2 linked regions of the Cricetulus griseus genome follow. The protein of the gene in region 2 purifies or fractionates together with the protein of the main gene of each other region. This does not show direct contact. Links are inferred from orthologs where the notes say so. Each region holds a gene or a part of one and is shown on either strand. Other genes may lie near its edges. The genes, in order: interferon regulatory factor 2-binding protein 1 and Irf2.

Region 1 (4,220 bases), on a different chromosome or scaffold from region 2:
ACCCCTGTTTTGCCACAACCTGCCTAGGCCCCCCAGACCCCGCCCCGTGACGTCAGCGAGCAGGAAATCCTGGTTAATGATCAGTCACCCAGGACAGGTGCGGGACAAGGCCGTGCACACATCAGAAGCAGCCGCGGCGGCTGAGAGCCTTTTACTTAGCTCCTGGGTGTTCTAGGGTGGCTGCCATGTCCCCAGATGAAAGACGTGAACCCAGGATAGGTTTCTCGGGTGTGTTCGCCTCTCAGGCACCATCACCCTGCTTCCAGTTACCCTGTTTGCCCGGGGAAAGTAAAACTTACTCTACCCAGGGCAGTTACCCTAGAAATACACCTTCACGTAAATTGGTCTAGGAAGTGCCCCTCTTCCTGTCCCCTCCTCCGATGGTTCCCACATTCAGAGTACCGGCCAGCTACAGCGCATACCTACTCCCCGGCTTGTCTGCGCTCCCCACGCGGGAGTCAAACCCTATCAGAACCTCAGTTCCATCGTCTGCAACACCAGCCTCGACTACACCTTTTAATGAGCACAGCAAACGTACACTACAAACAGCCGCCCGCTGGACAAAGGGCGCCACCCCGTGGTCACATAGCAGAAGTCCACCTTCTCGCAGGACACGTCCAGTCCCGAAGGGGGCGCAGCATCTCACACAACTAAAGGGACCGTGAAGGGGAGGGGAAGGAGGGGAAGGAGGGGAGAGGATTTAAAAAAAAAAAAAAAAAAAAAAAAAAAAACCATCTTTCGGTTTATTGAAGGAGGGAAAGGGTGGGAGAGGGGAGCAATAAAATGCTTTTGCTTCGTTTATAAAGAGCGAGTTCTCAGGAGACCTCCCCTCGAGGACAAGCGGGGCATCTCTCTCCCCAACTACCAACAGCAGAAAAAGCCAAGCCAAGAAAGGAGAAGGAAATCGGAGGGACCCAGGAACTCCAAACGCCTGCTCTGACAGGAGCCACAAGCTCTCCCCCCACCCACAATGCATCTACCCTAGGGGATCCATCCGGGTAGGGGAAGAGGGTATATACACAGGTTAGGGCGGTACTGGGCTGGGCGGGGTAGGGAATAATTTATCCGCAAGAACTGCGGTGGGTGGTCTAGGGGGGGCGGGGTAAGTAGCCTATCGATGGCATTGGCGGCCTAGGGGTCCCTTTCTTTCTTGACCTTGATGTCTCCAGCAAGGATGGTAGCGATCTCGCCCTGCATGAAGGCCCAGGGAACGGAGGAACCCACCAGCGGACACTTGTCTCCGCTGGGGCAGTACACCTCTCCAGCTGGGCCCTGAGCTTTGATGAACTCTCGAGAGCAGGGGAAGCAGAACTTGTGTCCGGGTACCGAGGGACACTGCACGAAGTGGGTGTCTTCCAGCCTCTCTCTGCACAGGGTACAGCACAAGGGGGCTCCAGGGGTCGCCCCTGTGCCGCTACCACCCCCGCTGACAGCTTCAGCCCCGGCCGTGGGGCTGACCTCTGCCTCTCCGTTGCGCGACACCAGGCGATGCTGGCTTGGTGGCTGGGTCGTGGAGGAGGCGGCTGGGCTGGCTCCCCCTGTGCGCACCGGGCCTCCACCCCCACCAGGGTCCTTGGGTGAGTGGCCCAGGGCTTCGGCCACATTCTTGAGGGCGGCGATGGGCGAGGGCACACCAGGCGTGTCCGTGGAGTAGGGGCCACCCGGTGCCACCCAGTGCCGCTGCTGCTGCTCCTCCGTGGTCATCTTCCCGGCTGACTCGCCCTCGGGCTCGGGGGACGCCTTGCGCCGGCGTGGCGTGGGCGCCAGGTTCCTGGAGGGGGCTCGAGGTGGCGGGCCACACAGAGCAGCCGGGGTCGGTTCTGGGTACTGCTGAGGCAGGGCCTCGGCAGGAGCGGGCTCTCGGAAGCTGCGGACCCCGTCGGTGAGCAGCTCTCCCAGCTGGCGCCATTCCCCTGAGCCGTGGCGGCGTTCGTATTCGAGGTACTTGAAGCCCGACGAGGCCAGGGCCTTGCCCGGCTCCCGGAGGGCATCGTGGAACATCTGGCGGGCCACCGCCAGGACCCCCGCGTACACGTTGCCGGAGCCGCAGGGGTACTCGGTGAAGAGCTTCAGCTCGAACTCGTAGCCGGGGGGGCGGGCGGTGGCATCGAAGGCGAACACCCTTCCCACCAGCCCGTGGTCCTTCTTGAAGCGGACGTTGAAAGGGGCGCAGGCAGACAGCGCCAGTAGCTGCTCCCTCACAGCCTTGGGGCGCCCGTGCCACTCCTCCGCCCGGCCGCGCATGGCCTCGTTCAGTTCTGCCAAACAGTCCGCATTCCTCTGCTGCTTCTCCTTCTCGAAATCGGAGCCGAAGAGTGGACGGGCCGGGCTCAAGCCAGGTGCCAGCGTCAGGGCTCGCCCTCCGAGGCCAGACACCGCAGCTGCCAGCAGCCCGGGGGGCATCAGGCTGGGGATGGAGCCAAGCAGGGCCCGGCGAGCCCCTTCGGCCACCGCCTCGTCGCCGCGGCTCAGCCCGTTGGCCAGGCGGGACCCCAGGGTGTACTCCAGGGCCGGCGAGGGCAGCGCCAAGCGGCTCGACGAAGTGGCCCGGTCGTAGCGCTGCTCCGGGCCCGAGACGCTACCTCCGGTCCCCGATGGCTGCGCCTGGGCCTGCGGGGGCGGCAACTGGGAGCCCTGGGTGCCCGCCGAGGCCAGGTCCTTGGAGGTCGGGTGCTTGAGGGCCGGGGGTCCCGGCGAGCGGCCCTCGGGGAGCACGTGGCTGCGCTTGAGCTGGCGGGCGGCGTCGATGAGCAGCTCGATGCGGTCGGCGCCCTCGAAATTCACGCACCCGCGGCACACGGCCTCGCTGAAGTCCCACACCATGGCCCAAGGCATCTTGGGCAGGTCGCAGAGGTAGCACCACTGGCGGCGGGACGCTTGCACCGAAGCCATGGCGCCCCACCACCACCACACCGCACCGCCGCCGCGCCACCGATCCCCCCCCCGAACCCCCGGAGAGCCGCCGGGGGCCCCCCGCGGTGCACCCGCCGCCCACGTTCGCTCCGCCGGGCCCCGGGGATCGGGCGTGCGAGCCGCTGCTCGCTCGGTCCGGCCTCGGCTCGGCTGCGCTCGGCCTCCCCGCCGGATTCAGGCCCGGCCCCCCTTCCACGCCCCCTGGGCCCTGAGCCTTTTTTTTTTTTTTCCTCTCTCTCTCTCTCTCTCTCTCTCTCTTTTTTTTTCCTCTTCTCTCCTCCTCACTCCCGCCTCCCGTGGAAAAGGCAAGCCGCGAGCACGCACGTCGGCGCCCTCCTCCGGTCCGCACCGTGAGTCAGGATGCACAGCTCCAGCTCCCCCGATGGGCCTCGGGCGCCGCCGCCCCGGGCTCCCGCCGCTCGCCCCGCCGCTCGCCCCGCCGCCGCCGACGCCGCTGCAACGGCCGCCGCCGCCGCCTCCACCTCCTTCTTCTGCCCCAGAGGCCGCTTCGCAGGGAAAGTTACATAACGCGCGGGCAAAGCCTTCTGGGAAATGTAGTCCCGTCGGGGCTGCTTCTTAAAGGGGACTTGGGCAGAAAGCAGTGGCGGGAAAGAAAAGAAAAGAAAAGAAAAGAAGAGTGGGCGCGCGCCTGGCCCCTGCGTGCTTCCTTTCTTGTGGCTCGCCTGGGTTCGCAACACGGGGGTCCAGGGGACGGATCGTGGGTTCATAAATGCTTGGGGAGGACAAGTGCTGGGCATTCATTTTTTTTTTTTTCCCGCCTTCTGATGTTGAGACTTTGGATTTTAGCTTAGGCTGGCCTGAGAAGGCCAGCGTCGATAAGCTAGGCTGGCTTGAGACTGGCTGCGGCCCTCCTGCATCAGCATCCCTAGCGGCGGGGCTGCAGTGCTGGAACTCCAGGCCCAGAACCCCGGCGAGCATTTTCTGCTGCTGCTCTGATTTGCTGAGCAGTTTCAGAGAAGAGTCTTGCCCTCTCTGAGAATCCCGCCCCTCCAAGCAGGGCCAATGACGGGTGAGGGAGGCAGCAGCTTTTTTGAGATGGGGCGGAGAGGTTCTGATTGGATGCTTTCAAGGGACCGGGAAGCAGGCGACCGTGTTGGAAAGGGGTGTCTCCAAGCCACTTTGTCCTCCCCCAGGGGTGCGAGCCTCAAGGGAGGCCCGCATGCCACAGGATGAGGAGAGGACCGAAGGCTCCGGAGCCAGGGCCTCATCTGTCGAAGGAGGGGGCGCTGAGCGCTTTCCGAGTCGGCTCCAGTTGTGCAGGCGCTTTGGTCTCCAAAGGGTTACAC
Region 2 (4,523 bases):
TTAAAAATGAAGTGAAAATGTTGGAAATAAATAAAGCTTTTACTAAATAAAGCTGAGAATAAAAGGGCAGTGCCCTTGGGTATGCGAGGAAATAGATGGATTTCAAATGTTGGATATCCAAAGTTTTAAGTATTCTACTCCTAGATTTAAGTAGCTCTCACTAGTTGTGTTATATTAAATATTTGTTTAATGGAGTTTTCCAGGAGGTAGAGTAGGAGAAAAGTACAGTTATAGTTCACAGAGCTGTCAAGACTTTATGGCAATTCCTCTTTAGACTTAAGTTGCTCCAAATTTGATTACAAACCCTCGAATTTTACAGGTAAGTGAGTCTGAAACATGTGGAACTATTCCTAACTTTGGTCAACAGAAAAAAAGACAACTCATTGAGAATGAAATATGTTTAATTTTAAGAAGCAGTAACAAATCATAACAGACAAGATCTCCCGGGTTTAAGCGCAGGCCAACACCTAACTTCTTACACAAGCGAGGGTGTAAATTATAATCATTCACCAATTACAGTGAAATTCTGGACTTTGCCCCATCAATCAATAGACGTTCCAAAGTTACCCCTTAGAAGAGATGCCAACTCAAATCCTAAATATTCCATTTGCTTGAATCTGCCTTAGAAAAGACAAATTCTGAGGTTGCATCCGTTTCTATTTTTGTGACACCCCCCACTCCAGCAAAAAAGAATGAGAGCTGAGAAAATCATAGAATCCCGAACTTGTACGAGCGATTAAGTTAAACAGGGCGACCTCTGAGGCCCTGCCCTAACCAGGCAGTGTACATCTGTCTACCCTACCATCCCGTCATGCACCGTCTGTAAACAGTGGGCTAACAGACCCGTCCTGCACCTGCCCTTAAGTACCAGAAGTACAGGCTGCTAACTTCAAATGTTATTTGCAGTCAGTCGCTGTGAAAGAGCTAATAAATGACTTCAGGCTTGACGACAACCTCGGTAATTCCTGAAAATGCACAACAGGAAATGTAACTATCCTCCACCCTCCGGAGCCATTCATCAAGAGCAGCCCGGAGTCCCAGCCACAGGGAGGCCAGTGGCAGAAAGCTAACCCCAGCACCACTTTGCCTTCCTGGCACAGACGCAACCAAGGACATAGGGAGTGCCCACACCGGAGGGAGGAGGGGAGGAGGAACATGTCCCCAAGTTTCAAACACGGAGGGGTTAAGAAGGACTGCAAACGGGCCAGCAGATGAGTGATGACCTCGACTGCCAACCCCCAGGGTCTTATTTACATCCGACCTCCAAGGGTCTTGCCTCCACCGGCTGACCCGGGTGTCTCACCTGGTGCTCGAGCACAGTCCTGGCCCAGGGTTGAGGCTGCCGGCCTCCTTCACTTCCCTGCTCCTAAGGGGCAAGGGGCTGAGGGTGGCCAAGGATCCAAGACCCGGGGCCCAGCGGAGGCACCGGCTGCCGCGTCCGGGCCCTGCGCTCTCGCTAAGGCTTCCCGGGCGACTTAGGGGCGCCGGCCCCCAAGGCCGTGTGGCGGGGACTGGCCGGGCACCGCGATTGGCCGCGGCCCTCATCGCTCGCCCAGAGAACCGGGCCGGCTGGGCGGAGAGGAAGTGGCGGCTGCCGCTCTGCACCAACCATGTTCGGCCGGCGGGCGAATGTCACCCGGCGCCCGGAGCGGGTCGGAGGGCACGGGGCGGGCACTCAGATCTCCACCGCGTCCTGGAGACCCCCGAGGGCTTGCCAGGCCCCCACTCCTGCCCGCGGGGGCGCCGCTCAGTCCCCGGAGGCTCCCCGCCCCCACACCTCGCCCGTTCCGTAGCCAAGGAGGGTCGGGCCCAGCGCGCCAGGCCGGCCCGGGGGCGCCCGCGGGGACCCGGAGGCGCTCGCAGCTAGGCCGCGCCGGGGTAGGTGACCCCTGCGCACAGAGCCCTCCTGGGACGCGCCTCTCGGGAGCCTTGAGCGCTGAGACAAATTCAGTGACAAAGCCCCGAGGCCAGGCCAGGCGCTGGCCGGCGGGTAGGAGGACGCGACGTCCTTAGCGAGTGGCGGCGGCCCAGCCCCCAGGAAGCCGGGCGCGCCGGCCAGGCCCGCGCCCAGCCGCGCGCGTAGCCCGCCCGGCCCGAGTGATCGCTGGCACCCGACGCCCGTCACCCGATCCCGAGCCCCATGGGCGAGCACATCCCGGGAGCGCCTCACAGCACCCATCAAGTTTACTGTGGCCACTGCCCGGGCATGGGTATCTGGGGACCGCGGGTGCCAGTCTATTTACACCAGAGACTGCCGAGAGAGAAGGGCCGCCGGGTACCGAGAAGAACCCGGTTCCCTTCTTCGGACCTTCGGTGGCGACAGTGTCTGTAAACACACACATACATACATACACACACACACACACACACACACACACACACACACACACACACACACACGCACCCCAATATTATTTTAAATGAGGCCCGACTCCGGCGGACCTGCACCCACAACGCACGACACCTGGGGCGCAGAATCACACAGAGCAGATCTGTGTCCATGGAGCCACCTCTTCGCATCTGCAAATCCAAAAGTGAAATTAAACCTCCACTAACCTCCTCCTCCCTCTCTACCTCCTCCTCCTCCTTGCAGCCTCAGCAGCCCCAGTACCAGCAGCAACAGCAGCAGACCCTGCTTCCCCTAAAATCAGATGATCCATAACTGCGCCGACTCTTCCTCCAAAAATCGGTATTAATATTTATGAACCCCGGCATTTTCCGTCTGCAAAACATCGTGTCAAAGCATCAGGACGCACATACATACAGAGCTCCTCCTGTCCCCATCAACATGCCCTCGAGAGAAAACACACGCACAGTCACAACTATTATTTGAAAAAAATGTTACCTCTCAGTGTGCTTTTTTTCACGCTACCAATACAATCCCGCAAGGTGTAAGTGTTGTTAGGGTGTGTAAAATGGAAATGAAAGCCCGTCAGTTGAATAATCGCAGGAGCAAAACTAAAAGTTACTCCCCGGCTCGCCTGAGAACAGTCCAGATCGAAAGCAAAACAAGGAGAGGAAACTGCGAGGAGCCGAGGCTGGAAATCCCCCCACCCCCGCCCTCTCCCGGCCCCGCTCCCTCCCTCGCTCCCCCTCCGCCCTCCTCCCTCCCCGCCCTTCCTCCCCAGTGTTTGTTTCAAGCTTGTGCAACCCGGAGGTGGAGGCAGAGGGAGGGCTCCAGCCGCCAGCCGGGAGGTGCGGAAGTTCGCCGCCGCTGTTCATTGGCGGGCAGCGCGGCTTTCATCATTTCTCGGAAAAGTCAATTTCATTTTCACTTCCCCACGTCGCGGCTGCGGGGAGCAACAAGCGGTAGCGCGTGAGTGTGTGGCTCGCGCCGAGGGTCGCTCGCTTTTCACCGTGGCCACGCTGGAGAGGGGGCTCCAGAAGTGGCGGGCCAGGCGCAGGCTTGGGATCTGGCCACCAGCTAGTGGCCATGGGGAAGGAAGGAGGTACCTGTCTCTGCATCCTACCTGAAGGTGGGAAGGACCAGAGGGAGGCTGGGAAGCCTGGGGACCCTTTCTGACCTGTGTGTTAACTGTTCAGAACCTCTGTGCTCAGGCTGCACACAGAAACTTATCTTGGAGAGTCGCCCGTTGCAAAGGAATGTTAGGAACGAAGTCAGCTGAAAAGAGAGCATTACTTGCCTCTCTACTTTATTGGATCTTCTACTGGGGGTGAGTGGTGAAGGGGCAGCCTGGCACTCTGTGTGGGAGCTAGGATGATTAGAAAGGCCTTCCCCAAGTAAGTCACTCTCCAAGGCTACTTTCATGTTCCATTCTTTGCAAGATGAGATGGGCAAGGCTGTGTATTACTTAACTTAAAATGTCTTGGTTGTGGCTGGCCCTGGAGGGAAAGCTAATACTGCAAATTACTTATAGCCGAGTTCAAATTTGACCCCTTATTAGCTGGACATCCTTGGCCGCTGTCCTCCACGCTGTACAGTGGAGATGATAAAGAATTCAAGAAGAAGGCCGGGTACCTATGACAGGTGCAGCAGCTATTGCCTATTAGCTCTACTGGGCCAGCTCACTTGGAACCTCCTCTTTGGCCTTTTAACTTTAAAAGTATTTTGTTGCATTTAGTTACACCTGTTTCTTTCTTGGCTTACAGTTTCATAGTCCTTCTCTAGCCATTAGAGAAGGTCCCATCCTAGGAGATTGTAACTACCTATGTGTACACATCTGAAAGCTAATTCTACCTCCTGTTTGTCATTCCACAGACAGGAAAAGGAAGTGTACCCATGTACTTGCGGAAGGAAATAGGTGAGATTAAGGACTCTGTCTTGTCTTAAAAATAGATTTCCCTCAGGCACACATTGTCCTTTATTCCTCCCCTAATAACACTGTACAAACCTTGCTTTCATATTTTATATACATCAATAACCATGAGAGTATACAAACTTTGAGATAGTTGTCCCTCTTTATCAACTAGGCACCTAAGTTAAAAACCTCATAACCACCAGCCATTCTTTTCTTGCATACTTTTTGTGTGCATGAGTACATGTGGTGTGTGTTTGTGTGTGT

What was found.
Region 1: the proteins of Irf2 (region 2) and interferon regulatory factor 2-binding protein 1 purify together in Homo sapiens (affinity purification with mass spectrometry; 4 studies listed by BioGRID and IntAct, counting the BioPlex papers as one, with this or other methods). This does not show direct contact. The link is inferred for Cricetulus griseus from reciprocal best matches to the Homo sapiens genes IRF2 and IRF2BP1.

What each region holds. Positions count from the first base shown.
Region 1 is NC_048602.1:28,363,835-28,368,054, forward strand, and holds interferon regulatory factor 2-binding protein 1, read right to left. Parts: upstream 2,930-4,220; 5' UTR 2,893-2,929; coding exon 1,132-2,892; 3' UTR 713-1,131; downstream 1-712. UniProt on the Homo sapiens protein: Acts as a transcriptional corepressor in a IRF2-dependent manner; this repression is not mediated by histone deacetylase activities. May act as an E3 ligase towards JDP2, enhancing its polyubiquitination. Represses ATF2-dependent transcriptional activation.
Region 2 is NW_023276807.1:39,912,599-39,917,121, forward strand, and holds the start of Irf2 (interferon regulatory factor 2), read right to left. Parts: upstream 3,030-4,523; 5' UTR 2,846-3,029; intron 1,477-2,845; exon of another isoform or gene 1,304-1,476; intron 1-1,303. UniProt on the Homo sapiens protein: Specifically binds to the upstream regulatory region of type I IFN and IFN-inducible MHC class I genes (the interferon consensus sequence (ICS)) and represses those genes. Also acts as an activator for several genes including H4 and IL7.